Ovis aries: one gene and its partners. The protein of the gene in region 1 interacts with the protein of each later gene in a pairwise test. Links are inferred from orthologs where the notes say so. Each region holds a gene or a part of one and is shown on either strand. Other genes may lie near its edges. The genes, in order: CEP63, SPTAN1, CCDC14, SNRNP70 and SMC3.

Region 1 (5,924 bases):
CATCTGAGTTAAATTCGCCCATTCCAGTCTATTTTAGTTCATTGATTCCTAAAATGTTGATGTTCACTCTTCCCATCTCCTGTTTGATAGCTTCAAACTTGCCTTGATTCATGGACTTAACATTCCAGGTTGCTATGCAATATTGCTCTTTACAGCATCGGACTTTACTTCCATCACCAGCCACATCCACAACTGGGTGCTGTTTTTGCTTTGGTTCCGTCTCTTCGTTCTTTCTGGAGTTATCTCTCCACTGATCTCCAGTAGCATACTGGACACCTACCAACCTGGGGATTGCCTTTTAGTACTGTTCATGGGGTTCTCAGGGTGAGAATACTGAAGTGGTTTGCCATTCCCTTCTCCAGTGGAACACGTTTCGTTAGAACTCTCCATCATGACCCATCCATCTTGGGTGGCCCTACACGGCATGGCTCATAGTTTCATCGAGTTAGATGAGGCTGTGGTCCATGTGATCAGTTTGGTTAGTTTTCTGTGATTGTGTTTTTCAATCTGTCTGCCCTCTGATGTATAAGAGGCTTATGGAAGCTTCCTGATGGGAGAGACTGACTGAGGGGGAAACTGGGTCTTGGTCTGATGGGCGAGGCCATGTTCAATAAATCTTTAATCCAATTTTCTGTTGATGGGGAGGGGGGGCTATGTTTCCTCCCTGTTGTTTGACCTGAGGGCAAACTATGGCGGAGGTAATGAAGATAATGATGACCTCCTTCAAAAGGTTCCATGCACACACTGCTGCAGTCAGTGCCTCTGACCCTGTAGCAGGCCACCGCTGACCCATGCCTCTGCCAGAGACTCCTGGACACTCACAGGCAAGTCTAGGTCAGTCTCTTGTGGGGTCACTGCTCCTTTCTCCTGGATCCTGCTACACACAAGGTTCTGTTTGGGCCCTCCAAGAGTCCATTTCCCAGTCCTGCTTAAGTTCTGGCTGCTCTATGCTGGGGTTAATGGTGACCTCCTCAAGAGGGCTTATGCCATACCCAGGTCTACTGCACCCAGAGCCCCTGCCTCTGCGGCAGGCCACTGCTGACCCATACCTCTGCAGGAGACACTCAAACACAGTTCTGGCTCAGTCTCTGTGGGGTCTCTGGGTCCCAGTGGCACAAGGTTTGTTTGAGCCCTCCGAGCGTCTCTGGCTGGTATGGGGTTTGATTCTAAAGGTGATTATGCCCCTCCTACTATCTTGCTAGGGCTTCTTCTTTGCCCTTGGAAGTGGGGTACCTTTTTGGTGGGAGCCAACATTCTTCTGTTGATGGTTATTCAGCAGCAAGTTGTAATTTTGGAGTTCTCATAGAAGATAAGCACATGTCCTTACCAGCTACTAATCATGATTTATCTTACCAAAGAAGGTAGGCCTCCCAGGAGACATAAGACTATAATTCCTTTCACGTTTGGAGTTTCAACAAGGGTACAAATTAACAGGAGACAGAGAGAGAAGAGTCGCTAAGTCATGTCTGACTCTTTGCAACCCCATGGACTGTAGCCTGCCAGGCTCCTCTGTCCATTGGATCATCCTGGCAAGAATAATGGCGTGGGTTGTCATTTCCTCCTTCTGAGGATCTTCCCAACCCAGGGGATTGAACCCACGTCTCTTGCATTGGTAGGTGGATTCTTTACCACTGCACCACCTGGGAAGCCTATACAGATTGACAAAAGGGTTTCTAACTTTCCAAACATCAGAATTTCTTGGTTAGGGGACCCAAACTGAAGGTAGAAAAAAATAGCCATACATTATTATCTAATACCCTAAAAATTTAACTCAGAAATTAAAACTAAGAAAACCTATAATATGATCAAGCACAAAATTATGAATATGTAATATTAAGTTCAGTTCAGTTCAGTCGCTCAGTCGTGTCTGACTCTTTGCAACCCCATGAATCACAGCACGTCAGGCCTCCCTGTCCATTACCAACTCCCAGAGTTCACTCAGATTCACGTCCATCGAGTCCATGATGCCATCCAGCCATCTTATCTTCTGTCGTCCCCTTCTCCTCCTGCCCCCAATCCTTCCCAGCATCAGAGTCTTTTCAATGAGTCAACTCTTCACATGAGGTGGCCAAAGTACTGGAGCTTCAGCTTTAGCATCATTCCTTCCAAAGCAATCCCAGGGCTGATCTCCTTCAGAATGGACTGGCTGGATATCCTTGCAGTCCGAGGGACTCTCAAGAGTCTTCTCCAACACCACAGTTCAAAAGCATCAACTCTTCGGTGCTCAGCCTTCTTCACAGTCCAACTCTCACATCCATACATGACCACAGGAAAAACCATAGCCTTGACTAGATGGACCTTAGTCGGCAAAGTAATGTCTCTGCTTTTGAATATACTATCTAGGTTGGTCATAACTTTTCTCCCAAGGAGTAAGCATCTTTTAATTTCATGGCTGCCGTCACCATCTGCAGTGATTTTGGAGCCCCCAAAAATAAAGTCTGACACTGTTTCCCCATCTATTTCCCATGGAGTGATGGGACCGGATGCCATGATCTTCATTTTCTGAATGTTGAGCTTTAAGCCAACTTTTTCACTCTCCTCTTTCCCTTTCATCAAGAGGCTTTTCAGTTCCTCTTCACTTTGTGCCATAACGGTGGTGTCATCTGCATATCTGAGGTTATTGATATTTCTCCCAGCAATCTTGATTCCAGCTTGTGTTTCTTCCAGTCCAGCATTTCTCATGATGTACTCTACATATAAGTTACATAAGCAGAGTGACAATATACAGCCTTGACGTACACATGCTTAACGCCAAACCACCCTGTGGCTAAGACTAATAATATTTAAGGTTATACCTTATGGTCTCTACTGTGTGTTGAGTATCAGCTGCCTTTAATTTTGCTTGCAGCTTCTCCTTTTGTATTCTTGCATCATGGATAAAATTTTCTTGAGTTTGAAGAGCTGCCTTCAATCCTCTCTTTTCTTCTTGAAGAACCTGTAAAAATACTCAGAAAAAAAGTCAGATATTATTACACTTTTTCTATTTCACGACACAAGGAAGCCAGGAGTCAAACTGTAAATTATATAACAGATACAGTATTAATAGGCCCAATATCAATATCTGATCCACTGGCTACAGAGTAGGTAAGAAACTGCAGATTTTGGAACCTAGTTGTAGGTTAATTAGTTTCTCTTAAAACAGACATACACACATTTCCTCAGTTATAGTATATAAAAATTTAAAAATATACCTCTAGTAGTTTTTCAGATTCCCTCAATTTTTCTTCTTTCTGCCGCTGCTCTTGCATAATAGTCATATTGGTTCCAACCAAGTCATTGACTCTCATGGTGAGGCGCTCTATTTCCAACTCATTGGCACAGATAGTATCATTGGCCCGCTCCAGCTTACTGCTCAGGTGCTGAATTTCTGACTGGCTGGACAGTTCCACAGACTCTAATTTTTGTTTCCGATTGGCAAGCTGAGCCTAAAAATACACAAATTATCAATTGGTAAAAGTAAAAGAATAATCAATGAACAAGGAAGACTAAAATGAAGCTGAATTTTACCTCCATAAAACATACAGCAATAGATCATTAAAAATATATAATTCATTCACCAGTCCAGTCAAAAAATGAACAAATATTTAAGCAGACATTTCTCCAAAGAAGACATACAGATGGCCAATCAACACATGAAAAGATGCTCACATCACTCATTATTAGAGAAATAAAAATCAAAACTACAATGAGGTATCACTTAATACCAATCAGAATGGTCATCAGCAAAAAAACTACAAACAATAAATGCTAGAGAGGAGGTAGAGAAAATAGAACCCTGCTGCACTGCTGGTGGGAACGTGAACTGGTACTGCCACTGCAGTATGGAGATTCACAACAAACTAGGAATAAAACCACCATGTGGTGGTGTTTTAGTTGCTAAGTCATAGCATGGGGCTACAATATTAGAATGGGTTGCCACTTTCTTCTACAGGCGATATTCCCAATCCAGGGATCGAACCCACATCCCTTGCGTAGAAGGTGGTCTCCTGAATTACAGGCAGATTCTTTATCACTTACCCACTAGGGAAGCCCCCAAACTATGATATGACCCAGCAATCCTACTACTGGGCATATACCCTGAGAAAGCCACAATTCAAAATGACACATGTACCCCAATGTTCATCACAGCACTATTTACAATAGCCAGGACATGGAAGGAACCTAGATGTCCATCAACAAATGAATGGATAAAGAAGTTGTAGTAAATGGAATATACTCAGTCATAAAAAGGAATAAATTTGAGTCAGTTGTAGTGAGGTAGATGAACCTAGAGCCTCTTATATAGAGTGAAGTAAGTCAGAAAGAAAATAACAAGTATTACATATTAACACATATATATGGGATCCAGGAAAATGGTACTGATGAAACTAGTAGAGAACAGACTTGACACAGTGGGGGAAGCTGAGAGTGAGATGAATTGAGCAAGTACCACTGACATACATACACTATCCTGTGTAAAACAGACAGTCAGTGGAAAGCTGCTGTATAACACAGGGAGCCCAGTCTGCTGCTCTGTGATGACCTAGAGGGGTGGGATGTGGGGAGGGGAGGAAGGCTCAACACGGAGGGGGTATATATAAAATTATGACTGATTCACATTGTTGCATGGCAGAAACTGATGCAACATTATAAAGCAATTTTCACCAATTAAAAAAAAATTGTATAAAGCTAGAAATAAAAATAAAGTAGTTGTGGTACATATATACAATGGAATATTACTCAGCCATAAAAAGGAATGAATTTGAGTAGTTTTAGTGAGGATGAACCTAGAGCCTATTATACTGAGTGAAGTAAGCCAGAAAGAGAAAAACAAATATCATATATTAATGCATATATATGGAATCTAGAAAAATAGTACTCATGAACCTATTTACAGAGAAATGGAAATGCAGATGTAAAGAACAAACTGGTAGCCATGGCGTGGGAACGAGAGGGTAGCACAAACTGAGAAAGTAGCACTGACATATATACACTATCATGTGTAAAACAGGTAACCTTCCTAGTGGAAGCTGCTGCATAACACAGGGAGCCCAGTCTGGCATTCTATGACAACTTAGAGGAGTGGAATGCGGCAGGTAGGGAGGCTCAAGAGAGAGGCGATATATATATAATTATGACTGATTCACACTGATGTACTACAGAGACCACCACCACATTGTAAAGCAACTGTTCTCCAATTTAAAATACATATATATACATACATATATATGTGTATATATAATATATTCATGATAGAAAAAAAAAACTCCATGATAAAAACTAGGAATAGAGAGGAACATTCTCAACTCGACAAAGACTTTCTACAGAAACCATACAGCTAACATTACACTTAATATTGGGAAACTTGACACTTTTCCACAAAGATCAGATATAAGGCAACAATCTATCCTCACATCACTCCTTTTCAACCATCACAGTGGATGTCCTAGTTAATGCAGTAAGAAAAGGAAAAAAAAGGTATACAGATCAGGAAAGAAGTCATAAAACTACCTTTATCCACAGATGATATGATCATCTATGTAGAAAATCTGAAAGAATCAACCAAAAAAAAGAAAAATCCCTAAGTTAATAATCAGCTATAGTAAGGTTGCAAGATATAAAGTTAATATATAAAAGTCAACCATTTTCCTATATGCCAAAAGTAAACATGTGGAATTTAAATTAAAAACAAAACACAGGACTTTCCCAGTAGCCCAGTGGTAAGAATCTGCCTTGCAACACAAAGGACACAGGTTCAATCCCTGGTCAGGCAGCCAAGATCCCACATGCCCTGGAGCAACTAAGCCCGCGCACCACAGCTACAGAAGCCGATATGATGCTGCAACTAAGACCCACTGCAGCCAAATGAATAAAATAAAAATTAAAAAAAAACAAAAAAACACAGCACTATTTATATTAACACCTAAAGAAATTACTTAAGTATA
Region 2 (5,924 bases), on another chromosome or scaffold:
CATAAGTAGTTTTTCTACTCCTTGACAGTGACCTAAATCAGAAAATCCTGCTTGCTACTACTGAAGAATAAGAAAACTACATGGCATTAGAAATAGCCTGTCTCTTACTTACTAAACTAACTGTAGTTAATGAAAAACTATTCTGGTTGGAGATTTTTTTAAAACCTTCATCGGGGAGAAGACACATATTAAAAATGTGATGAAATGTTAAAGCTTGCCACTACAGGAGAGAGGCACCCCCCACCCAACTGAACTGGTCATAAAAATATGTATATCCTTCTTGGCCACACTACGCAGGCATCTGGAACGCTGCTGATCAGGGATCAAACCCCTACCCCCTGCACTGGAAGCACAGTCTTAACCACTGGCCAGACAGGGAAGTCTCACAAGAGTATTTTTAAACTGGAGGAATGGATACACAGGATGCGGTGTATATATACACACCACGGAGCATTAGCCAATAAACGCTAGAAGATCACTGATCCATCGATAATGACTAGACTTTCAAAACCCTCTGTGGAGCCCTCAGTCACAAAGTAACATAACATGTGCTTCCATTGATATGAAATGTCCAGGACACATACATGCAGAGACAAAAAGCAGCCTGGTGTTCGCCAGGTGTTGGTGTGGAGGCGGGCAGCGGGTAAGGAGAGGCTGCTTCATGGGTCTGTGCTCTCCTTGCGAAGTGATCATGTTTTGGAAATAGAAGTGATGGTAACAGAACACTGGGAACAAACCAAATGCTGCTGAACTACATCCTTTATCACAGTTAACTGTCTGTTACGTGGAAGTCGCTCAGTCACCTCTGCCTCTCTGCGACTCCACGGACTGTAGCCCACCAGGCTCCGCTACCCATGGATTCTCCAAGAAAGAATACTGGAGTGGGTGGTCATTCCCTTCTCCAGAGGATCTTCCCAACACAGGGACTGAACCTGGGTCTCCTGTGTTGCAGGCACACTCTTTACCAACTGAGCCACTAGAGAAGCCCAATGTTATGTGAACTTAACCCTAATTAGGAAAACTACTTTTACACATTTTTGTATGATAGATTAGGAAAGTTCTTAAAACAACATGCAGAGAAAACTGCACGTATTGATGTCTTCTCAGAACTAAATGGTGCAAGAAAAGTTATGATTAAACTCGTTTAAAAATGGCTACAGAGACAGAGGAATATAATCTCTAATTTTCATTCCAGAAATCCACAGTCAAATGTCAAGAGATCCAAACCTTTGAACGATTTTCCACTCAACTGCAAGACCTCCCGTACCTTCTGGAAGTCGTCAAACTTCTTCTGCAGCACTTCGACCTGCTCCAAGTCCGCGCCGACCTCCTCGCTTGTCAGGGCCGCTTCCTTCTCGTTGATCCACTGCTGCAGCTCGTTCGCTTCACGGAACAGCATGAACTTCTTACAGCTCTTCTCCAACATGCCTTTACGCTTCTCTCCCAGTTCCAGCAGAGAATGGTACCTGAAGTAATTCAAGAGGGTGACAAAAGGGAGGGAGGGGAGGCGGGTTAACTTCCTATGGAGGCAGACCACCCGTGTCTTCGAGAGGTGGTCCAAGGCTGTGTTGATAAGGACGATGCCGTGGTGGCAGAGTATCAGACACCAGGTGGAGACACAGGCCCCGAGGACCCACGGACAGCCTCCGGGACAAGCCCACACTACACTGTTCACAATGGGGTGGCGGGGACGGCCCGGCACACTCACCCCGGGGCCGCGTGTGCACTGACACCAGCACAACCACAAATGACCAAAACCAAGCGTTTAGCACAACACAGGCTCCATGCGACTACAGCTGCCAGATGAGAGATGGATTTGCTGGGCGTGGTGTATACAGAGGGCCTGTTCTCCTGTCGTATGATTCTGCCAGCAGCGCCCAGGTGGTGGGGGAAGCTACACTGAGCTTTACAACAGCCTCATTCAGAATGTTAGTATCTCTGAACAGTAGGGAATTCCTACTGTTTCTCATGTTAACATACTTATTTCTCAGGAAGTTTTGGCCACTTTGGAAGGAGAAGTCACGTAAAGCACATTTCGTTAGCTGAGGATTTCTTATGAAGAATCCAATAACACTCGAACTCTTGGGAACCAAAATACAAAAGGCTGAACTCCTGGCATCCTTGCAGATGTGAAAATAGCAAACTTAATACAACTGAGTTGAAAGTTAAAAAGACCTAGAATAGAACCTAAGTCTCCAAAAGGGAAATAAAACAGGAGCGCATTACCGAGAGTCAGACTTCAAGAGGCAGCCGGCTTGCTGCCAACAGAGGAGCATTAGGGCGCCGGCCGCCGCCTGGCCCGCTGACAGCGGCCAGTCCAGGAAGAAACCGACAGCAGGCACACCAAGCAGGCTCTGAACGCACAGCTGCACAGAAGCACCGACGAGAGAAGCGGCCACAGCTGACACGGCTTCACCCAAACCCCTTCCCTCGCGAGCCAAAGCTGCTGCCAGAGACGGGCCCTCCTGCCACCTCGCCTTCCTCGACCAGCGAGCGCCTTCAAGAGAAGCAGGGAAGGGAGGATGGACGGGGCGGCGGGTGGTGCTCGGCAGGGCTTCCGGCCTACTCACAGTTCTTCCACCTGTTTCATACGCAGAGACACGCTGCCGGCCTCCTTAGTTACGCGCGTCCTGCACGGGGGGGCACAGCAAAAGCACGCACGGATTAGTGGGTTAATCCACGGGGTGGGAGGCAGCGGCTCCGATGGGGGCCAGGACAGTGGACGCTTCAAGGGGAAATGACGGAGTCATTTGAGAGCTCTTGGAAGCAGGCTAGGCCGGGAATGAAGTCACAGTAAGGAAAGAGCAGGAAAATCAAATCCAATGACACGAGAGTTAGTTCACCTTTGTTTTCCTGTCTGCCATGCTTAAGGCAGTAAACATTCCTCAGCTAGACACACTGGTCGCTTCACAAAGCCAGGCCAGAGGTACAGTGACCGCCCTGAGGAAGAGGTTTTCCTGAGGGCTGACACGCAACTGGAGTCAGGTATCTGGTCCACCTTTTTGCTCTCATATTTACGATCTAGGCCAAAACCTCTCATTCTTAGCAATAACAGAAAGCATCGGTAAGTGTATAAAAACTGACCTCTGCAGGGATCAACAGGGTCAAAAAAGTTCTACTGTTCCAGCCTCTCATCAGAGTGTACTTCCTGGCTGTCTGCCAGGTGTCCAGAGCTTTAGATCTCATTAGTAGTGCAAGATGTGCCCTAAAAAGAGGGACACGGGTCCTTAAGGGAGCTTAGCCATAAGAAAGGGTGCAGAGCTGTTTCCTAAAAAATACACTCCACTCTCAGAGCATAAAACCATGGTAGAGAAACACACTCTATGCAGCCTTTTGCAGAGGACAGAACTCAAGAGGTGTGGAACAGCTAAAAACCCCATTTCAGAGAGCACCTCCTGAACTGGAGAACAAAGATCCAGATGGTGACAATTAGCAAACGTTGTTTAGGAAAAGCAACTGGCAAATGCAGGGAAAAGAACAAATGAAAGGAAAAAAAAGGGACAGGTCAGGGATCATAGGTTCCTGGGGTTGGAGCTGTGTGGGTAAGCTATGCCGTGGGGACGGTGGGGGAGAGTACACCTTAGAGCGCAGATGGGCATCGGGAGAGCACTCGCCCTGGAGCCTCAGCTCAGGGCGGCCTCCGCCTCAGCCCCTCAGGACGACGCACGGCGCAGACCTCCGCTGGCCCTCTGCCGCCACCCGCGAGGCCCTTACTGGTTGTCAATCTGCTCCTGCCGCAGCGCGATGCTGCCCTGCTCTTCCAGGAGGTTCTCCCGGGAGGCCGACTGCGCTGGGTCCAGCTTCTTCACGTAGGCGGCCGGCACGAAGCCCTGCCGGTCGTTCACTTCCACTTTCCACCAGTCCTACAGGGAAAAGAGACTATCTCCATGGCAAATTCCTCCCCTGACGGAGGGAGAACCCAAGGAGGCCCGTGTACACACGCATGCACACATGAAGAAGAGCTCTAGTCACGGCATGAGGATCCCGTGACGGTGCCAAAGTCACCTGGTGTGAAGATGGGAATTTTGATCCCCTCGTGACCTGCCGCGTATAGGGAGGGTCATGAGTGAGGCAGCCATGACTTTACTGGAGCAGGAAGGCCACCTTCTCTTCGCACAGATGCTCCAGGACTGTGCTAACACGGCAGCCTCGAGCCATACTTCAGGAAATTAAATAAAACCTCAGATGCTCTGGGACCTCTGAAGCCCCTCATGGTCACCTGTGACTAGTGGCTTCTGTGGGGCCAACACAGACACATAGTCTGCCATCACCGTGGCTTCTACTGGCGAGGCTGCTCTGGAGTGAACCAGAGTCAGACCAGGCAGTTAGCTTAGGTTTAGAGTCAGCAGACCGACACTGGCCAGTGTTTCCTCAAAGTCCCACGACCAGGTGAGCTGAGTGGCTGGGAAGAGGAGGTGCCTAACACTTCTCCAGCCTACACTAAGACAGGGGGCAGGATCCTGGGGGGGCTCGTCAGATGATGGCCTCATTCCAAGGCCATAGCCAATCAGAATGCGTTAAGAAAGACTGATGAACCAGGCAGCACTGAACTTGGAGAAGATGAGGAGGCGGAGCCTACAGGGTGACGCTGAAGCCTGTTTTCAACCCTCTGCTGCGGCCCTACAGTCTAGAACCAACAGGTGCCAGTGACAGAGAAGCAGACTTCAGCTCAAAAGAGAAAAAAATTCCACTTGGAAGTGGTCCTTGAGAGTAAGGGTCACTACCCTAGCTCTCAGGTATTTACGGAGACAGGCTGGTCATCTCAATCACAGGCAAAACAGTAAACCCACGTGACATGGGAGACTGACCTGGAAACTCTAGTAACTTTAAGTTTTAAACCAGCCACATCCTGGAAAGACAAGCTCCCAAGACACCTAATATGTGGAAACCAACCCCCTGTCATCCTCTGTGCTTGCCTTGTTGGTGCTGTTGAGTAAGGTGAGAATGTCTCCTTTCTTCATGGTGACCTCTCGGGGACTCTTCTCCTGATAGTCATAGAGCGCCAAGACCAGCTCCTTCCCAGTCTCGTCATCCATGGGGGCCACTTGTTGCTAAAAATTCAAAGGAAGGGCAAACACAGTTATGGGATGTCTCCAGAGTGCCGTCTCAGCCACTGCAGATCCCAGCCTCAGCAGGAGACCCACATCCATCAAACATACACTGGTGACAGTTCTCCTCTGAAGCCACCAACAAGATCTGACTCAGGAAGCTCAGCTGTCTGGGACCTTTAAGGCCACAGGAAAGTCACCTACGGGGGCTTTCCTGGTGGGCCAGTGGTTAAGAATCTGCCTGCCAATGTAGGAGACACAGGTTTGATCTCTGGTCCAGGAAGATCCCACATGCCTTGGAAAACCTAAGCCTGTGCACTCAACTGTTGAGCCTGGGCACCCCAACTACTGAGCCCACACGCCCTAGAGCCTGTGCACCACAACGAAAAGTAGCCCCCGCTTTCTGCAACTAGAGAAAGCCCATGAAGCAATGAAGAACCAACACAGCTAAAAATACATAAATAAAAGAACGTCACCCAAGATCATGCCACCTGCTGTCAGCATCTGGGTCTTTTGGCCTCCCTGCTCCCTGGCCCCGACCCAACCCCTGGGATCTTGCAACTGCTGACATGAAAAGCCTCACTTACCCGGCACGACTGGGCCTGCTCTCGCAGGGCCTGGATGCTGCTGCCATAGGCGCTGAGATCCGACATCAATGCCTCGTGCTTCTTTAGCAGAGCCTGAAATCCAAGTCACACACAAAGCGACCCTGAGCAAGGAGCCAGAGCAGCCCCTCTGCCTCCCCAGCATGCCGTCTGCCTCTTAAATCTGTTTAGCTACCTGGTGACTTGATGACTCTCTCTCCCTTTATTTGATAAACACTTAGCGTGGAGAAAATATCATGTTTTCTATTATCTTTTCATCCATAATTATGCA
Region 3 (5,924 bases), about 66 Mb from region 1:
AGAGAAAGATCAAACTTTACTTGAAAATAAACAGCAATTTGACATTGAGACAACAAGAATGAAAATTGGTATGTGTTTGAACTGTAGTCACAGTCACTTTTTAAAAAGTAATACTGAAACTGAAACTTTTTGTTGTTTTAGAATTGGAGGAAGCCTTAGTCAATGTGAAAAGCTCCCAGTTTAAGTTAGAAGCTGCTGAAAAGGAAAATCAAATATTGGGAATAACATTACGCCAGCGTGATGCCGAGGTGACTCGACTGAGAGAATTAACCAGGTGATGTTGACATTATTTGAATAACTTATGCCTTTTGTTAGATGTATTTATAAACTTCAAAATAATTTCAGACCTGCCTTCTTAAACCTTATCCTTTTCTCAGTGTTTTTGCTAATTTCTAAGGATATTTTTCTTCTGTTCCAGTTAAATTTCAAACGTGGCTAAATTCTTTTTTAAAGCATGTAATTCCAGGCAAAGGACTCTAATGAAGAGCTGAAGACTTGTTTAGCAAGTGGTTAAGAACTCTCTGAAGCCAGAGACACCTGAGTGGAATTCCAGCTCTATCATTTATTAGCTGTATGACTTTGAGCAAGATAGTTAACCTTTCTAAACCTTAGTTGTAAAGTGGGGGCATGATTAGGGTTGATAAGAGGGCTAAGAAATCATTCATGAAAAGCATTTAGCACAGTAAGCCCTCATTCATCGGATCTTGGGTAAGTTATTTAGCCTGTTTGAACATTATTCACTGCATTAGTAAAATGAGGGATTTGACAATAATTTCTAAGATTTCTTTCTTCCTTAACATGTGTTAAATAAATAAAACCACCTCACTCAACTTTTATATGATATTCTTTTATAAAGTTCAGTTTTCTCTTGAGGTGGTTGACAAAAATTGGATTTTCAACTGATTTTTTAAATCCTAGAGAAGTCAGTTATTTTAGGCCTAAATTATATATCATCAGATCTGACCATGCTTTTGACTGATCCTGGAAAGTCATAGTTCTAAATATAAAGCAATCCTGAATATAAAACAATCTTCTTTGTATTTCAAATGAAAAGATCCATTTTGCATTATACACTTTTTTCCCCACTTTGAGTTATAAACTTCTGGAGAATAAATGATACATAGATACATGGTGGTGGTTTAGTCACTAAGCTGTATCTGACTCTTGCAGTCTTGGCAGGACTGTAGCCTGCCAGGCTCCTCTATTTTCCCAGGCAAGAATACTGGAATGGGTAGCTATTTCCTTTTCCAGGGGATCTATCTGACCCAGAGATCAAACCTACGTCTCCTGCATTACAGATGGATTCTTTTACTGCTGAGCTACCGGGGAAGCCTATACGTATACATATATATATAAAGAATATTTATTAGTTTTGTAAGCATATTTGAAATGACTTTATATAAGCTATGTTAATATAGAAATATTGCTTCTCCCCACATTCATCTTTTACAGAATAATTTCACTCAAACTTTTATTGAACAGTGAGAAAAACAAAATGTACTTCTTGTATCCGTGTAGTATTAATTAGGCTCTGGTCACAGTTTCTGGAATATTGGGTTATACCACTCTTTTTCCAAGTTAATTATGAGGATGCCCCTTCTTATGAAAGTCTTTATAAGGTCTCTAAAGAAAAGCATCTTCTCTTTTCTGAGGAGTAATTTAGGGTAAAAACTTTGTTATCTTTAAGTATTTATGGTAAAAGAAGTTAATCACAAAAACCCACATATTTTATGATTTTATTTCTAAGAAATGTCCAGAAAAATGCTAGGATTTACTCAGATCAAGTTGCCCTTTAAATTTAAGAGCAAACCAGACAAAAAATACTCTTTGAGCTTGGTTGTCAAAATTCACCCACATTGGTGACTTGGGCAATTCAGTTAATTAGGAATATTCCCAGTACTATAGCTGGGCTACTGTGACAATTTACATTTTACTTCTGACATTAGAGCATAAGTCAACAACACTTGACAATACAGATAAATCTTCATGTTCGCCTACCCCATCTTTTTTTCCTATAGCCATGTAACCTCAGTCAGATATGTATGTGTCTCTGTGTGTGTGTGTGTGTGTGTGTGTGTGTGTGCATTTTTTTTTTTGCATGTGTTAAATAGTCTCAGAGATTTGACAAAAAAATGCCTTTCTCATACTACTGGGGAGTGATTTCACATACAAGTGCTAAACAAATTTCCTAAACCATTTCTTCTCCAACTTTCAATAGTTTTGAAATACATCTTTATTACGTTTTTTAGATTTTACTAGAATGCAGGTTATAGTACCATTAAAATGTGAGGAAAATTAATATATTTTTCAGTAAAAAAGTAGTAAATATTCTTCTGATAGTTTCTAAGAGCACTCATACAAGTGCTGATATTTATTTAAATTAGTATAGTTTTATAAATAGCCAAGAAAGGACTTTACATTTTTATTATGAAAACGCACCAGTTTTCCAAGCATTAAAAACCGTTGTGTTTAGCTGAGTCTCATGTAATAGAAACACAGATATATCTACTTTGTAGCTATTTAGGTGCTTGTATTGCTTCCTTTAAAATTTTGGCATAGTTTTATCTCTTTATTTACAGAGATTTTTCTTTTAATTTCAAAGACAGTTGTAAGTCACATTTGTTTACACATGAGAAACTTAATGATTGCATTTAATTTCCAGAGATTAAACTCTTTATTACATGTCCCTTTTTGTATTGTGAATTTTGTACAGAGCAAAGATAATATTTTTATTTAAGTCTGAAAAGGAACTTCAACATAAGGATTTCTTTTCCAAAAATAAATGAAAATAAAAGTGTCAGTATGCTGTCTGGTTGAATTAACTAGTGGTCATTGCTCATTACAGGACTTCTTTAAAGATGGTTTCTATGGCATACTTTTTATCTTTTAATAGTAGCTCGTTAGCTTCTTGAAAGAGGAATGAAAAAAAGTGGCTGGAGCCATTGCCATTTGAAGGGCAATCAGAACTCAAGACATAGCATATTTAAGATGACAGTGTATGCCAGGTTGGGAAAGAACTTTTTTTCCTTTTGTAGGAAAAGGATCACTTATTCTATATCCAAAGATATTAATATAATCACTGCTAACTGTTTCATACAGAGATTTCCTTTTAGTATTTTATTTGGACGTGTATAACTGTTTTTACAAAAATAGTATTGTTACTGTGTTGCTTATGGCTACTCTTTTAAATTTAACCTTGTATAATGAACATTTTCCTATCAATAAATATTCTTTACAAATGACTATAAAAAATGGCTATGATGTAGTAAGAATGTAATATACCTGAACCAGTCCACAGTATTTGAAGATAAAGATATTAAGTTCATCAATTTTCTGTTATAAATTATATCTTTGTAAATATATCTTTGGGTGCAGCCTATTGGTGAATATCAGTAGGTTAAATTCCTAGAAGTGCAACTTGGTGGGTCTAAAGGTGTGGAATATAAAAGTCTTTTAAGATTTCTGATATAATGCTATTTTGCTAGGAGAGTGTACACTCCCACTTTGCCTCTCCAAGCCTTTTTAACAATGGATATTCTTATTTTCCTATGTTAGCTTGATAGGCCCAAAAAAATCCTATTTTAAAAATTTTAATTTATCTGATAAAAGTCAAACTTTAAAACATACTTATTGACACATTATAATCTTTTTTTAAAAATTACCTATTAATGTTCTTTGTATCTTTAAATTCGTTATGTTTCTTTTTCTTATCTATATATAAGAATATATATGATTCCATTCAAATAGACTAAAGTCTTGGTATAAAATGGTTTTAACAGGACTACTAATAAAAGCTGTCACCAGATGGAAACAGTGCTAAGCACTTTACCCTTATGTTTTATTATTTTATCTTATTTAATGTTCATTCTAAATGTGAAGTAGTTATCTTCATTTTTGCAGTTGAGGAACTTGAGATTCAGAAAGGTTAAACAGCTTGCTCAAGATCACAGCTAGCAATAGTGCTAGGATATGAACCAATTTCTGTCTGACTTCAAACCCTGTGTGATTTTCCTTATATCACACTTTCCCTGGAATCTAGCTGTCAGTTATACCTAATTATATGAGATAATTAAATTATGTCTAACTATCCTTTTTTTCGCCAGTATTGTTCCAATATCCTTTCCATATATGTTTTGAATGTAGAGTAATAGTTACTAACACAATCCACTAACAAATGGGTAGTATATTTACCATTTTGCAGTGTTGCTCAAGAATAAAGCATCTCTACCTTAAGAGAAAATTTTTTCTGAGCCTCCACTTTTAGATATAATAGTATTAGATTTGATGCAGACTAAGATCTTATATCAATTGTTACTTTAATTTACTCTTTCCAGAACATATTATGTGATTTTGTGCTTTTAGTTGCTTTTTCCCATATTAAGAACCAGGTGCTTGCCTCAGATACTTTCTTTTAAAGATGAGAGGAATATGTAAGTAAATGAAACAAATGGGTAAAAAGAAATAATTAGTGTACTAAATTCTTCTTAACAGAACTTTACAGAGCAGTATGGCAAAGCTTCTCTCAGATCTTAGTATGGACACTGCTCGCTGCAAGCCTGGGAATAATCTTACCAAATCACTTCTGAACATTTATGAAAAGCAACATCAACATGACCCGATCCCTGCTCACACTTCCATAATGAGCTACCTAAGTAAGTTAGAGCCAGATCACACTCTTATTACACATCCAGAGCCTCTTTCTACAGTTGCCAATGAGGAAAACATGGTGCCAGATAGACCTTATGAAAATGTCCTGCCCTCCAAAGGCCCTCAGCACAGTAATACTAGGAATATGGAGGAGGTATCAGCCCCTGGAATTGTTCCTGCCCTTTCAAAACAGGATTCTGATGAGGCAAGTGAAATTACGACCTTAGTAGAAGATGAGCATAATTTGGATAAAACAATTTACATTCCATTTGCTAGAAGCACTCCTAAAAAGAAATCGCCACTGTCTAAGAGATTATCCCCCCAGGCCCAGATCAGTGTAGCTCCACCGCAACCGGTCAGTGGACTTGTTGCTGAAAAAGAAAATACACTGTGTGCACCTGGAGTTTGTTCCTCTTGCAAAAAGGAAGAAGCACCTGAGAAACTTTCCAGAACAGCTGATAGGGAGGACAAGCAGCTTCTCAAGAAAATAAAGGAAGCCATTTGCAAGATCCCTCCTGCCACTGAGGAGGAGTTGGCAGCCTGTCACAGCCCCTCTGCTTGTCAGAACAGCAATGTTCAGGTGAAAAGCAGTGCAGTCTCTGATGGTAGCTTTTTAAATTCTGACTTACCTTCTGACTGGAGCATCTCTTCTTTTTCCACGTTCACGTCTCGTGATGAGCAAGACTTCCGAAATGGCCTTGCAGCACTGGACGCCAACATTGCCAGACTCCAGAAGTCCTTAAGGACTGGTCTTTTGCAGAAGTAAGCTCAGAAGGAAGGAAAAGTTGTTTTTAAGAATAGAACTTGGCTACATTGAATGTATATTTTAAATTTCTTTAGAGAAAAGTTTTATATTATGTGTGAAATAAATTGTATGAATAATACATTTATCATTGGAATATATTGACACTAGAGCTTATAAAAAGTCATCTTAAGAAACTGACATTTGTTAAGAGAAGAAAGTTGTGTGTTACTAGAAAAATACTGTATTATAAATAAAATTTAGTATTTATTTATTAGAGTTTATTCTTACTCTGCTGGGCTAAGAATGCAGGTTGGAAGGAATTTCTGGTTGTTCTAAAGGATAATAGGAAGGGAGTCTCTGGGTACAATTTACTATATTAAAACTAGAGGGTTTTTTTTTCTCTTTCAGGATTCCTGTTTGTTTTTTAATGGCATTGTGTTTTAATGTGTGATGTTCTGTGCTACAGGCTGGTGTTGTTGGTGAGACATATAAACATTTATTTTAACAGAAAAAGTGCCAGTATCTCCATTTA
Region 4 (4,889 bases), on another chromosome or scaffold:
GGGAAAGGCAGCCGGCCACTCCAGTTGGCCTCGGTTTAACCCCCAGCATATCTGGCTTCCCAACGGCCACGGCACGGCGGTGGGAACGCAGCAGGGCCAGGGCTCCTGGTGGAACCCTTCAGCCCTTCCTCCTCTCCTGGCCCCTGCCCCTGCCCCTTCTGCGGGCCCTCACTGTGGTGGCCCTGGAGAGTCTTTTTGGTTGCTAGACTCGGGGTGCTCTGCTCATGTCTTGTCTGCCTTGTCACAGTGGAGCCTCCCGAGAGGCTGTGGAGCCCAGCTGCTCTCCAGAGTGCATGGACTTGGGGATTGCTGTGGGAGGGGTCGAGCGACAGGCTGTGAACAGCTGAAGGTGCTGGAGCTTTTACTGAAAACCCTTCCACTGGCTGGAGACCTAAGAGAGGGAGAGCGAGCGAAGCCTAGAGATACACACGTCACATTTTTCTCTGCTGTTCTTCCCGGGTTGGGCCTCTTCTGGGGTTTGGGACATGACCAGAGCAGGGGTCCTTTGCTTGACTGTGTCCCCAGTCCTGAAATCCCGCCCCCACTACGCTCCTCTGGGTTCAGGGGCCCAGCGGCCCCTTCCCCGTGGATCATGGGCAGTACTCCCATCTCCTGGACCCCCGAAGCTGTCCCCTTGTGTGCCAGCCTTTGGGCTGAAGCAGATGGTGGGAGGGAGTGAGAAGTTCAAGGTGGAAAAGTCATTCCATGTGCTGAGGGGGTGGGGCCTGTGCCTAGCTGAGCGTGGATTTTATGGGGAAAAGCTGAAGGTGGACAGGTTTGCTAAGGCCTCCCTAGCCGCTTTGTAGAATTCAAACAAGATAGTCCTTTCAAGTTCCCAAGCTCTATGTTAACCCTGTCTCCCTCCTCTTCAAGGCCTCCATGAGGTTTCTTTGGGGTCCACCACTTCCTCTGCCTGCCTCCAGGCGGTACAGGAGATGTGGTTCCTCGCCCCTCCGGGGGCTCCCTAGAACCCCCTGGCTCCCTCCCCCGTAGCTTTAGCTGACCCCATGGTGGTGGGTGTGGGGTCTGTGCGCGTGCTCAGGTAAGCTTGGGGGCTCCAGGTAAGCGGTCCCGTGTCCCCCCCCGGGAAGCCCGCCTCCTCGCCAGGCCCCCAGGAGTTGCCGAGCCCCCCCCATCCCGCTCGGTTTGGACACCCGCAAGGCTGGCATCGGTAAATGGCACCTTTTTCTCTTCCTCTGGTTGTTATTTGGGGGGGGAGCGGGCTGGGGCGGGGCCGGGTGTTGTGGCTGGTTGAGGATGACCCCCTCCGCCAGGGCTGGGGGTTGGGAAACAGGGACGTTTTTGGCCTCCCGAGAGCCCCGTGTGAGGCAGCCCCGGGCTTGGGCCTGTCCTTGGCTGTGTCCTGCCCACCCGCAGGACGCGCTCCTCCCCGCCTCTCCCCCCTTACTCCGCACCCTTCCTGAGGCTCAGGTCGGGCTCGGCCCTTCCCGGCGCGTGTTGCACTGGGGTGTGGAGGGAGAGCTGGGCTGGGGGCTGGGTGGGTATAGTCTCGGCAGGTAAGGCAGGGATTTTCAGTAGCACCGCACGACTCCCATGCCTCCCTCCACTTCCCTCTGCCCCACCTGCTGTAGGGGGCCCCCATAACCCACCCTCTACTCCCTGCCATCTCCTAAAGATTTCTCCTGCCCCCTTCTGGTTCATTTTCTGTTCTGATGTCTGTTTCCCCCATGCTCACCCTCCCCCAACAAAAACCACAGTAAAAGGAAACCGGTGTGAACTGGGGTGCGGAGCGGCCAGCCGGGCCTCTGCTCCCAGCATGACGTTTTAGGGTGCATGCCTGGGGTTGTGGAGGAGCCCTCCCCCACTGCAGAGTCCAGCCTTAAGTTAACCTCCAGTTTCTTTGCAGCGACTTTGGCCGCCTTGGTGGGAGGGGGCTGCTCTGTCAAAGGGGAGTAGGCCTGGCCTGGGAGCCCAGGGCAGTGGTTAGGGTGAGCATAGTGGTTGGGAGTGGGCCGGCCCCCCAAGAGTGTTTGGGGGTGATGAGGCAGGTGGTGAGATGGAGCAGGCCCCTCCCGGGTTGGGAGAAGGTTGTCTGGCTGTCAGTTGCCTGGCTGTCTGGTGGGCCTGTGTGTGTGCGTGCGTGTGTGCGCCGAAGTGTGCTGACGGGGACATGGCGGGTGTGGCGGGTCGGGATGCCACAGAGTGGGGCCGTCACCTGACTAGAGGATCCTCTGGGGACTCCTCCCCCTCCCCTTCCCCACATCTGTTGCAGCCGCTTACAAGCATGCAGACGGCAAGAAGATTGACGGCAGGAGAGTGCTCGTGGACGTGGAGAGGGGCCGCACCGTGAAGGGCTGGAGGCCCCGGCGGCTAGGTGAGCGTGCCCTGCTCTGGCTGGGCTCGGGGTCCTGCTGGCTCCCTCTCCCTTCTCTTCCCCCCCCCTGCTGCTTTCTGTCTTCTCTTCCCCATGCAGCTGCTCACATTCCTCCCTCTCTCCAGCTCAGCCTCTCGGTCTCCAGCATTCTCTTGGTCTGTTTTTGTTTTTTATTCTGGGTTACCAATTAGGAGCAAGAGTACTGACCTGGAGAAGCCAGTCTGGGATCAAATTCTGACTTGCGCATACCTGGCAGGTGGATTTCTCCCCTTTTCTGACTCATTTTCCTCATCCTAGAAAGTGGGAATAATCTCAAGAGCTCACTGAGTTCAGTGTCTCAGATACACAGCCTGGCAAATGGTGTACAGTGGGGCTTGAAAAGTCGTTCTGGCATCCGCTTAGACTTTGCTCCTGCTCATCCGGCCTGTTCGTTCATTGATTACTGAGTAAACACTGGTGTGATCACCAGCTGCGTAGCAGGCTTCTAGTCAAGGGTGAGACATACATGGTTGGCCGCTGCCCTCAAAGCTTCAGTCCCTCTCACTGTCATCTCTTATTGTCAGTTACCGTCTCAGTCAAGGTCAGGTTGGTAGCAAGTACCAGAAAACAGTATAAAGGGGTCTGTTGGTATAGAATCCCGGTGTCTTGGGGCCTTGTTGGTGTAGAAACCCCAGTGGCTTGGAGCCCAAAGATGGGGGAGGTCTGTGGGCCTTGAGGCCCTGGCGGCTGAGCCTGCAGCATCCAGAGCTGCCTCTGGCAGCTCTGTGCCTTCTGCCTTGTTTGCTTGCTGTCTGTGAGTTGGTCCCTTCTGGCTCTCTCCCCACGGAGCCAGTGTGGTATTCCACAACGCAGTCTTGGATGAGTCTGCGCTTCTGGGTGGGTGGATCTAAGTGGCTCAGCGTTGGGCCTGGACCTGGGGCTGAGGTTGTGCCATCCAGACTTGGCTGTCGAGGACCAACTCCAGTGAGGGGGAGTGACCCAATTGTCAGAGAAAATAGTCTTCGCTATGCAGACACCCTAGGCAGGTCCAGTACCCTCTGACCTTATTTCTGCCCCCAGCCTGCTGTTCTTATGCTTGACTTGCCTTTACTGAGTAAATCACACATGTATCTGCCGAGTGTCAACTCAATAGATAAGTTCTCCTCTCCCTCTCTGGTTTCTTTGGGTTGGAGTGAGTCCTTCAGAGTCTGCTCTTGCCCATTGTAGAATCCTGGAATCTCAGAATCTTCTAGTTTGATTGGCATTCCAACTTTCTGATGGTGATAGCCAGTGCATTTTGACCCAGTGTACATGCAAAAAAAATACATTTAACCCAAACAAAAGTTTGATGAAACAGTAGTTTATCTTTTCTACGGGCAGTATATATACTAGTGTTTTATGTTCTGTTTCTTTCTTTTAAAGAAATGGTTGGTTGCATCCTGTCAGATTTAGTGATGTGACTCCACTGCTGGGTTGTGATCTGAACATGGAAAGCACTGGTCTGTTTCTCCGCATCCTTGCTGGGTGGCTTGTCCTCTGTTCGGATGTTTCATGTCCATGTCCAAGCTTTTGACCCTCATTGCTGAAAGCTATTCCTTAAATAGCTTCAGGAAACTCCCTTCCAGGCAGTGGGGGCAGAAGACTGAGTGAGAGGGCAGCTTCTGGAGTTAGCGGGGAATCACGTCTCTGCTCTGCCCTTTCTTGCCGAGTCACCCTGGGCAGGTGGCTTTTCAGCCTGCGTTTGTTTCCCACGTGAAGGAGGAGGGTAACTGCTGCTGCTTCCAGTTGTCCTTGTCGCCATTTGCTCGTCCAGCTTTTTATCGTGGCTGCTGGTCCAGCGTCCTGATGGAAGGCGCAGTACAGGCTAGAGAGGGAGGCAGCTGTTAATCAGCTCTCTCTTGAACGTGCGTGTACACACACATAGACGAAATTGGAAACTCCACCTGAGACACACACGTGAAATCGGAAACTCCACTGAAGTTCTGAAGCCAGTGTGTGGTCTGTGAGTGGAGAAGGGCCTCAGCTGGTAGGTCAGGGCAGGCGGAGTGAGGAAGTGAGGTGTGGGTTAAGGTGCGGAGGGTAAGTGGGAGTTAAGTAGAAAGGAAGGTGAGACTCCAGGGGAACGGGTGAATGATCCCCAACACTGGGCAGGAAGGACATGGAGACCATGAAGAGGTTGGAAAATGCCTGGAACCTTTAGAGCCAGGGGCCCTTGGGCTGAAAGACAGGGAGGAGGCCGGCCTCTGACCTTGGCTTGGGCGGTGGGCAGCCACTGCCGGCTTTGAGGCGGGTCAGGCTTCAGTTAGAAGGATCGGGGCTGTGTCTCGGGCGGGAATGACCGGAGGAGAGGGTCTGTCAGGGGCTGGGGCCTCCCCGGTGGGGGAGGTGAGCCCGGAGCCCTATGAGGGCGCGTCCAGCTGGCGCTGTGACCTTCTGATCTCTGCACTGCCCGCCGTCTCGGGGTCCCCACCCGCTCTGACCCGCCTGTGTCTGCCCCTCCCCAGGAGGCGGCCTGGGCGGCACCCGGAGAGGCGGGGCGGACGTCAACATCCGGCACTCAGGCCGGGACGACACC
Region 5 (5,924 bases), on another chromosome or scaffold:
GTTTGGAGGCAAGTTTGCATGCTATGGAGTCCACCAGAGAATCACTGAAAGCAGAACTGGGAACGGATTTGCTTTCTCAACTTAGTCTTGAAGATCAGAAGAGAGTAGATGCACTGAATGATGAGATTCGTCAACTTCAGCAGGCAAGTACAGTTGACAGAAAAAAAAAATTTGTTGGTAATCAACTGTTGTGAAAAGTGTCTTTCTTGCTAGTAAAGGAGTGTGAAAAAGATATTGAGAAAATATAAGATTGAGACTTCCAGTATCCATTAAAGTAAATGAGATTTTAGTAAGTTTTTCTAAACCTTATGATAGGATTGTATAAGAAATCTTCATTTTCCTTCATCTTATTTAATGCCTGTTTGTCACTAGTAAAATTGAGCTTGTTAGCTTTGCTATATTTATTGATCTGACCACCTTTACATATTTAAAAAGTTTTGATTAACATTTGATTCTTAAATATAGATGTAAATAATTAACACTAAATTCAGAAAGTGAAAAGCAGGAAAAGAAAAATATTTTTGGTAGTATGCCTTATAAAAAGAACCAGGCACAAAAAATAGCCTTCTGGATAGATAAAAGAGTAGAGAAGAAAATAAAGGTCTTTTTGGAAAGGTATAAAACTCTTGTTTCAGCTCATTTGAACACAAGTAATGTCGACAACAACAGATTAACAGCATTCCTGTATGTGAAATGAGCATCCCTATGTAGACAGACAATTTGTTTTTCTTTTTTCTTCTAGGAAAACAGACAACTACTGAATGAAAGAATTAAATTAGAAGGTATTATTACTCGAGTAGAGACTTACCTCAATGAGAATTTGAGAAAACGCTTGGACCAAGTAGAACAGGTACGTTCTCTTTGGATGGTTTCTTGATGAGCATAACCTTTTGAATATGCTTACGTGAGAGGCTCTGATTTAGAGTATGGACTCTGGGGACAGAAAGACTAGCAGTCTGACTACCTGCCCTGGCTTGGAGCTCTCACACTGCCACCTAGTGTGCTGTGTTGGTCAAGTCATTTGATATTTCTAAGCTCCAGTTTCCTCTTGTGTAAAAGAAGCATAGCAGTATGTTTTGTGTGATGATCTGGCACATTCTAGGTACTCAGTAAATATTAGTTACAAATATTTTCTCAGTAGTGGTCAGATGCTAAGAAATATTTTAGTCATTAATCATTTTTTTCCTGCTTAATGGATACCTTAAGTATTTACAACTATTTGAAGTATGTTTTTTGGTTTCCTTAAGTGTTTATTCAAACATATCAACAGCTATATAAACATTGGCAGTCATAACATTTTGAAACTAACAAAGTTTATATTTTTATGGCTTAATGCTCCTGTGTTCCTTTTGTGTTATAGGAACTCAATGAACTGAGAGAGACAGAAGGGGGTACTGTTCTCACTGCTACAACCTCAGAACTTGAAGCCATCAATAAAAGGGTGAAAGATACCATGGCAAGATCAGAAGGTGAATTTTTATTTTGTAAAAGTGTTTTTGATATCTAGTTAAATTTAGCTTATTTGTTTTATAAGACCGTGTATTACAAAATGACATACCCAAATAGGCAAAAGCATGTACCAGAAGTTTTTGTCGTTAATAGTTTCTAGTGAACAGTTTAGGGTGTTGATTATTGTCACCTTCATTTTATTGAAATGTTTGTGGCAGTTTTTAAGAGACTATACATTATTAGTTTCTTGACAAAAGCATGGAATAGCTGAATCAAGTTTGTTGACAATTGCTGAGAAGAAAATTATTTTAGGTTTTTATAAACATTGAATAATAAAAACTTTATATATGAATGGCTTGTGTACACTCCCAATTTTATTCTGAATTCTTTCATAAATTTTCACAGGAAAATTTAAACCTATTTGTTTTGATAGATTTGACCATTAAAATCTTTGGTCAGATAACACCTTAAAATAGGTGTTATGGGGAATTCCCTGGCGATCCAGTGGTTAGGACTCCCTGCTTTCATGCCAAGGATCTAGGTTCAGTCTCTGGTCGAGGAACTAGGACCCTGCAAGCCGCATGGCTCAGCCAAAATACAGTAAGTGTTATGGCCTAACTTGGTTTTCCCCCCATTTTAGATTTGGACAATTCCATCGATAAAACAGAAGCTGGAATTAAGGAGCTGCAGAAGAGTATGGAACGCTGGAAAAATATGGAAAAAGAACACATGGATGCTATAAACCATGATACTAAAGAACTAGAAAAGATGACAAATCGACAAGGCATGCTGCTGAAGAAGAAAGAGGAATGTATGAAGAAAATCCGAGAACTTGGGTCACTTCCTCAGGAAGCATTTGAAAAATACCAGACACTGAGCCTCAAACAGGTAAATCTAGTTTGTTTTAAATATGAAATCTCATTACAAATTTTCTACATGTGAGTTTATTTATATGTTTTTTTTTTTCCTCTTTATAGTTGTTTCGAAAACTTGAACAGTGCAACACAGAATTGAAGAAGTACAGCCATGTTAACAAAAAAGCTTTAGATCAGTTTGTAAATTTCTCGGAGCAGAAAGAAAAGTTAATAAAGCGACAAGAAGAGTTAGACAGGGGGTACAAATCAATCATGGAACTGATGAATGTACTTGAACTTCGAAAATACGAAGCTATTCAGTTAACTTTCAAACAGGTATGTTTCTGTTTATAGTTAATACACAAGCTAAAATCTTCAGATACTTAGTTTATCATTCAATTTGTAAAGATTTTAAAGCTTTTTTTTCCACTGATAATTGTTCTGATACTTAAAGACATCCAGTATATATACAACTCTTACAAGGATTCAATCTGTTATTCTTGTTCTTAAGATTAAAAAATAAAAATTTTTTTTTATTGCTTTTAAATAATTTTTGTCTTTGTTTTAAAAAGTACATATTCCATCTGACACCTGTTTATATATTATTCATTTTAAGGTATCCAAAAACTTTAGTGAAGTATTCCAGAAGTTGGTCCCTGGTGGCAAAGCTACTTTGGTGATGAAGAAAGGAGATGTGGAAGGCAGTCAGTCTCAGGATGAAGGAGAAGGGAGTGGTGAAAGTGAGAGGGGCTCTGGATCACAAAGCAGTGTTCCATCAGTTGACCAGTTCACTGGAGTTGGAATTAGGGTAAAATAACTTTACATTCAATTATCCTGAGAGCATTATCATAGTGGAACATTTTGCAAATCTTAAATTGGTACACTGTATGCAACTTAATGTTAAGAGATGATGGAGATTTTACCCCTTTGAAATATTAACTCTAATTAAATATATTCTTAGGTGTCATTTACAGGAAAACAAGGTGAAATGAGAGAAATGCAGCAACTCTCGGGTGGACAGAAATCCTTGGTAGCTCTTGCTTTGATTTTTGCCATTCAGAAATGTGACCCTGCTCCTTTTTACTTGTTTGATGAGATTGACCAGGCTCTGGATGCTCAGCACAGAAAGGCTGTGTCAGGTACAGTTTTGGTTTCATAGCTTCATAGTAACTTACTAGAAATGATAGCTTGCCTCTTTTATCATATATTTCTTGCTGCCTGAGGTATCTGGGGAGACTAGACAGGGTATTATTCAATAAAATAATTTCTCTTTTAACAAAGTTTTTAAAATTTAATATTAGACTACAAAGTATAGTTCTATCAGAAACATGAAACAATTGAAAATCCAACCCCAGTTAAGCTTTTATACAAACGTCTCTCCTTTTAAAACTTTTCAGATTTGATTTACAGATTTACAGATTTGATTCTGTTTTTAAATAATCTATACCTGATCTTTAGTAAGTTCAAAAGATTTTGGGGGAGTGGGTAGCAGGAAAAGGTTGCTCTGGATGAGAAAGATTTACATTGCTCTGATACTGTTTCTAATCCTATGTTAGAAATGCTGCTTTTATATTCTGTAACTAAGATATCGGTGTTAAAGGTTTATGCCTAGCTTAAGAAACAAATTGATGCTTTCTGTAGATGTATGCAATCAGGCAGTTTTAAATTTTAGGTAGGATTAAAGATCATTGCTTTTTAAATTTTTAGTTCTACTGAGAAAATGGTTTTATTAAATTACTCTTTCTTTTTACAGATATGATTATGGAGCTTGCTGTACATGCTCAGTTCATTACAACTACTTTTAGGCCTGAACTGCTTGAGTCAGCTGACAAATTCTATGGTGTGAAGTTCAGAAATAAGGTAAAATTTTTTTACATGAAGTTTAAGTTCATATGGTATTTAATCCATTGTATCTGTTCAATTCTTTTTTTGTTGTTACTTAAGTCATGAGAAAAAATTCAGAAACTTGTTGCTTATTGGATGATGATATCTTTGTGAAAAAAACTTAAAAATGTTTATGAAGCTTATCAGGGGTTTTTTTGGCATTCATTGCATAGTTTTATTTTCATTGGCATTAAGAGACATTATCCTCCTCTCTAGCCTATTTAGTGCTTATTTAATGCACAGTCTTTAACATTTACATACGTTGATTTATATTTGGTTAGACCACATGGCTCTTCCAGGTGTTTTCAGCCTTAAAATTCTTTGAAATAGCAAAGTAATAAAAACTGAACAAAAATGTAGTTCAGATATTTAGACATGAGTACTTATCTGTATCTTCAGAGCATTAAAATGCAGAATATTTTTTAAACTCCTGTGTTGAACAAACAGCATTAAAATAAGGGTTTTATCAGTCAATGTTTTAGAGTCAGTTGACTTGAAATATGCAATTTATATAGGTAATTGGCTATATTTTTAAAATATTACCATATCCAGTGGGAACACTGATAAGTTTCTTTACCATCTAACAGATGCTGTTTTTAATGCTTATCCTTCAGGTTAGTCACATTGATGTGATCACAGCAGAGATGGCCAAAGACTTCGTAGAAGACGATACCACTCACGGTTAGTTGGGAAACACTGCCCGTTGGTCTGGAAGATGTGTAAAGTAATGTGATCCTTTTACCCAGGAACTGTAAATTTAAACCTCAATATCTGGTCATTATTAATAGTTTTCAGCTTAGAGTATACATAGTCCTTTTATATTTCTGTCGTTGTATTTTATAACATACTCTGTAATGTTACGTTTCTATTCATAGTTTAAGGATTTTATTTCCCACACAACTTTTTGTAAAGTGTTCTCCTGTTTTAAATCTTTTAAAATGTGCTAAATATTGTTTCCTAATTATTTTATCAAGTGTATTGCCTCTTTTATAGCTTCAATTAAATAATTGGTTTTATGACTAACTGTTTTATGTGGCTTTTTATTTATAGTTGTATGATTGGAAACAAATTTTTCTTAAATATCTGCTTTTTGTTTTGCTTAAGAAAAGGTCTGCCTTCACCTAAAAAAAGATTTTTAAAATATGGTTTAATATTCTGTTGAATTGCAATATGATTCCCAATCCTGGCTGCTTGTTTAAATCCATGGGAGGGAGCTTTTAAAAATGTAACACCGCTTGAGTCTTTCCCTAGACAATTTGAATCCAAATCTCTAAGGAATAGAGTCTTGGTCAATGTTAATTCTAAAGTTCCGTAAGGTGATCCTGACCCTCAGTGAGGATTAGAAACCCTGCTATAACTCATTGTAACTGTCCTTTAGAAAGTATTTTTAATTTAAAATGGCAGTGTGTTTAATAGAAGTTAGGAAGAGTATCCAAGAAATTGAACTGTAAAAGTTGTTCCTCCAGATAAGTAAATAGTTTGGAAAACCTTGTTATTGGAACATTGGTCTTTTCCCAAAGGAAAAGAGCTTTGTAGTTTATTGTGGTTTTAAATTGCTTATTGAGGTAATTCATACACCGTAACATTCACCCTTCAAAACAGTATAGCACAATTCAGTGCTTTTTAGTTTATTCACAGAGCTGTGCACCCATCTGTACAATCAAATTTTAGAGCATTTCAGTCACCCCAAAAGCAACACTGTACCAGTCAGCAGCCACTCTCCATCTCCCTTTCCTC

Evidence for each region.
Region 2: the proteins of CEP63 (region 1) and SPTAN1 interact in a two-hybrid assay, tested with the Homo sapiens proteins (2 studies listed by BioGRID and IntAct). The link is inferred for Ovis aries from reciprocal best matches to the Homo sapiens genes CEP63 and SPTAN1.
Region 3: the proteins of CEP63 (region 1) and CCDC14 interact in binary tests that used the Homo sapiens proteins (3 or more experiments, as listed by UniProt). The link is inferred for Ovis aries from reciprocal best matches to the Homo sapiens genes CEP63 and CCDC14.
Region 4: the proteins of CEP63 (region 1) and SNRNP70 interact in binary tests that used the Homo sapiens proteins (3 or more experiments, as listed by UniProt). The link is inferred for Ovis aries from reciprocal best matches to the Homo sapiens genes CEP63 and SNRNP70.
Region 5: the proteins of CEP63 (region 1) and SMC3 interact in a two-hybrid assay, tested with the Homo sapiens proteins (2 studies listed by BioGRID and IntAct). The link is inferred for Ovis aries from reciprocal best matches to the Homo sapiens genes CEP63 and SMC3.

Annotation. Positions count from the first base shown.
Region 1 is NC_056054.1:255,433,519-255,439,442, forward strand, and holds part of CEP63 (centrosomal protein of 63 kDa), read right to left. Parts: intron 3,426-5,924; coding exon 3,192-3,425; intron 2,936-3,191; coding exon 2,796-2,935; intron 1-2,795. UniProt on the Homo sapiens protein: Required for normal spindle assembly.
Region 2 is NC_056056.1:7,770,146-7,776,069, forward strand, and holds part of SPTAN1 (spectrin alpha chain, non-erythrocytic 1), read right to left. Parts: intron 5,729-5,924; coding exon 5,636-5,728; intron 5,052-5,635; coding exon 4,917-5,051; intron 3,864-4,916; coding exon 3,715-3,863; intron 2,631-3,714; coding exon 2,571-2,630; intron 1,467-2,570; coding exon 1,268-1,466; intron 1-1,267. UniProt on the Homo sapiens protein: Fodrin, which seems to be involved in secretion, interacts with calmodulin in a calcium-dependent manner and is thus candidate for the calcium-dependent movement of the cytoskeleton at the membrane.
Region 3 is NC_056054.1:189,148,189-189,154,112, reverse strand, and holds part of CCDC14 (coiled-coil domain-containing protein 14), read left to right. Parts: coding exon 1-68; exon of another isoform or gene 69-141; coding exon 142-274; exon of another isoform or gene 275-4,491; coding exon 4,492-5,413; 3' UTR 5,414-5,924. UniProt on the Homo sapiens protein: Negatively regulates centriole duplication. Negatively regulates CEP63 and CDK2 centrosomal localization.
Region 4 is NC_056067.1:55,353,632-55,358,520, forward strand, and holds part of SNRNP70 (U1 small nuclear ribonucleoprotein 70 kDa), read left to right. Parts: intron 1-2,233; coding exon 2,234-2,335; intron 2,336-4,818; coding exon 4,819-4,889. UniProt on the Homo sapiens protein: Component of the spliceosomal U1 snRNP, which is essential for recognition of the pre-mRNA 5' splice-site and the subsequent assembly of the spliceosome. SNRNP70 binds to the loop I region of U1-snRNA.
Region 5 is NC_056075.1:30,683,430-30,689,353, forward strand, and holds the end of SMC3 (structural maintenance of chromosomes protein 3), read left to right. Parts: coding exon 1-143; intron 144-742; coding exon 743-850; intron 851-1,360; coding exon 1,361-1,469; intron 1,470-2,089; coding exon 2,090-2,337; intron 2,338-2,426; coding exon 2,427-2,639; intron 2,640-2,919; coding exon 2,920-3,111; intron 3,112-3,264; coding exon 3,265-3,442; intron 3,443-4,056; coding exon 4,057-4,253; 3' UTR 4,254-4,801; coding exon of another isoform or gene 4,802-4,873; 3' UTR 4,874-5,210; downstream 5,211-5,924. UniProt on the Homo sapiens protein: Central component of cohesin, a complex required for chromosome cohesion during the cell cycle. The cohesin complex may form a large proteinaceous ring within which sister chromatids can be trapped.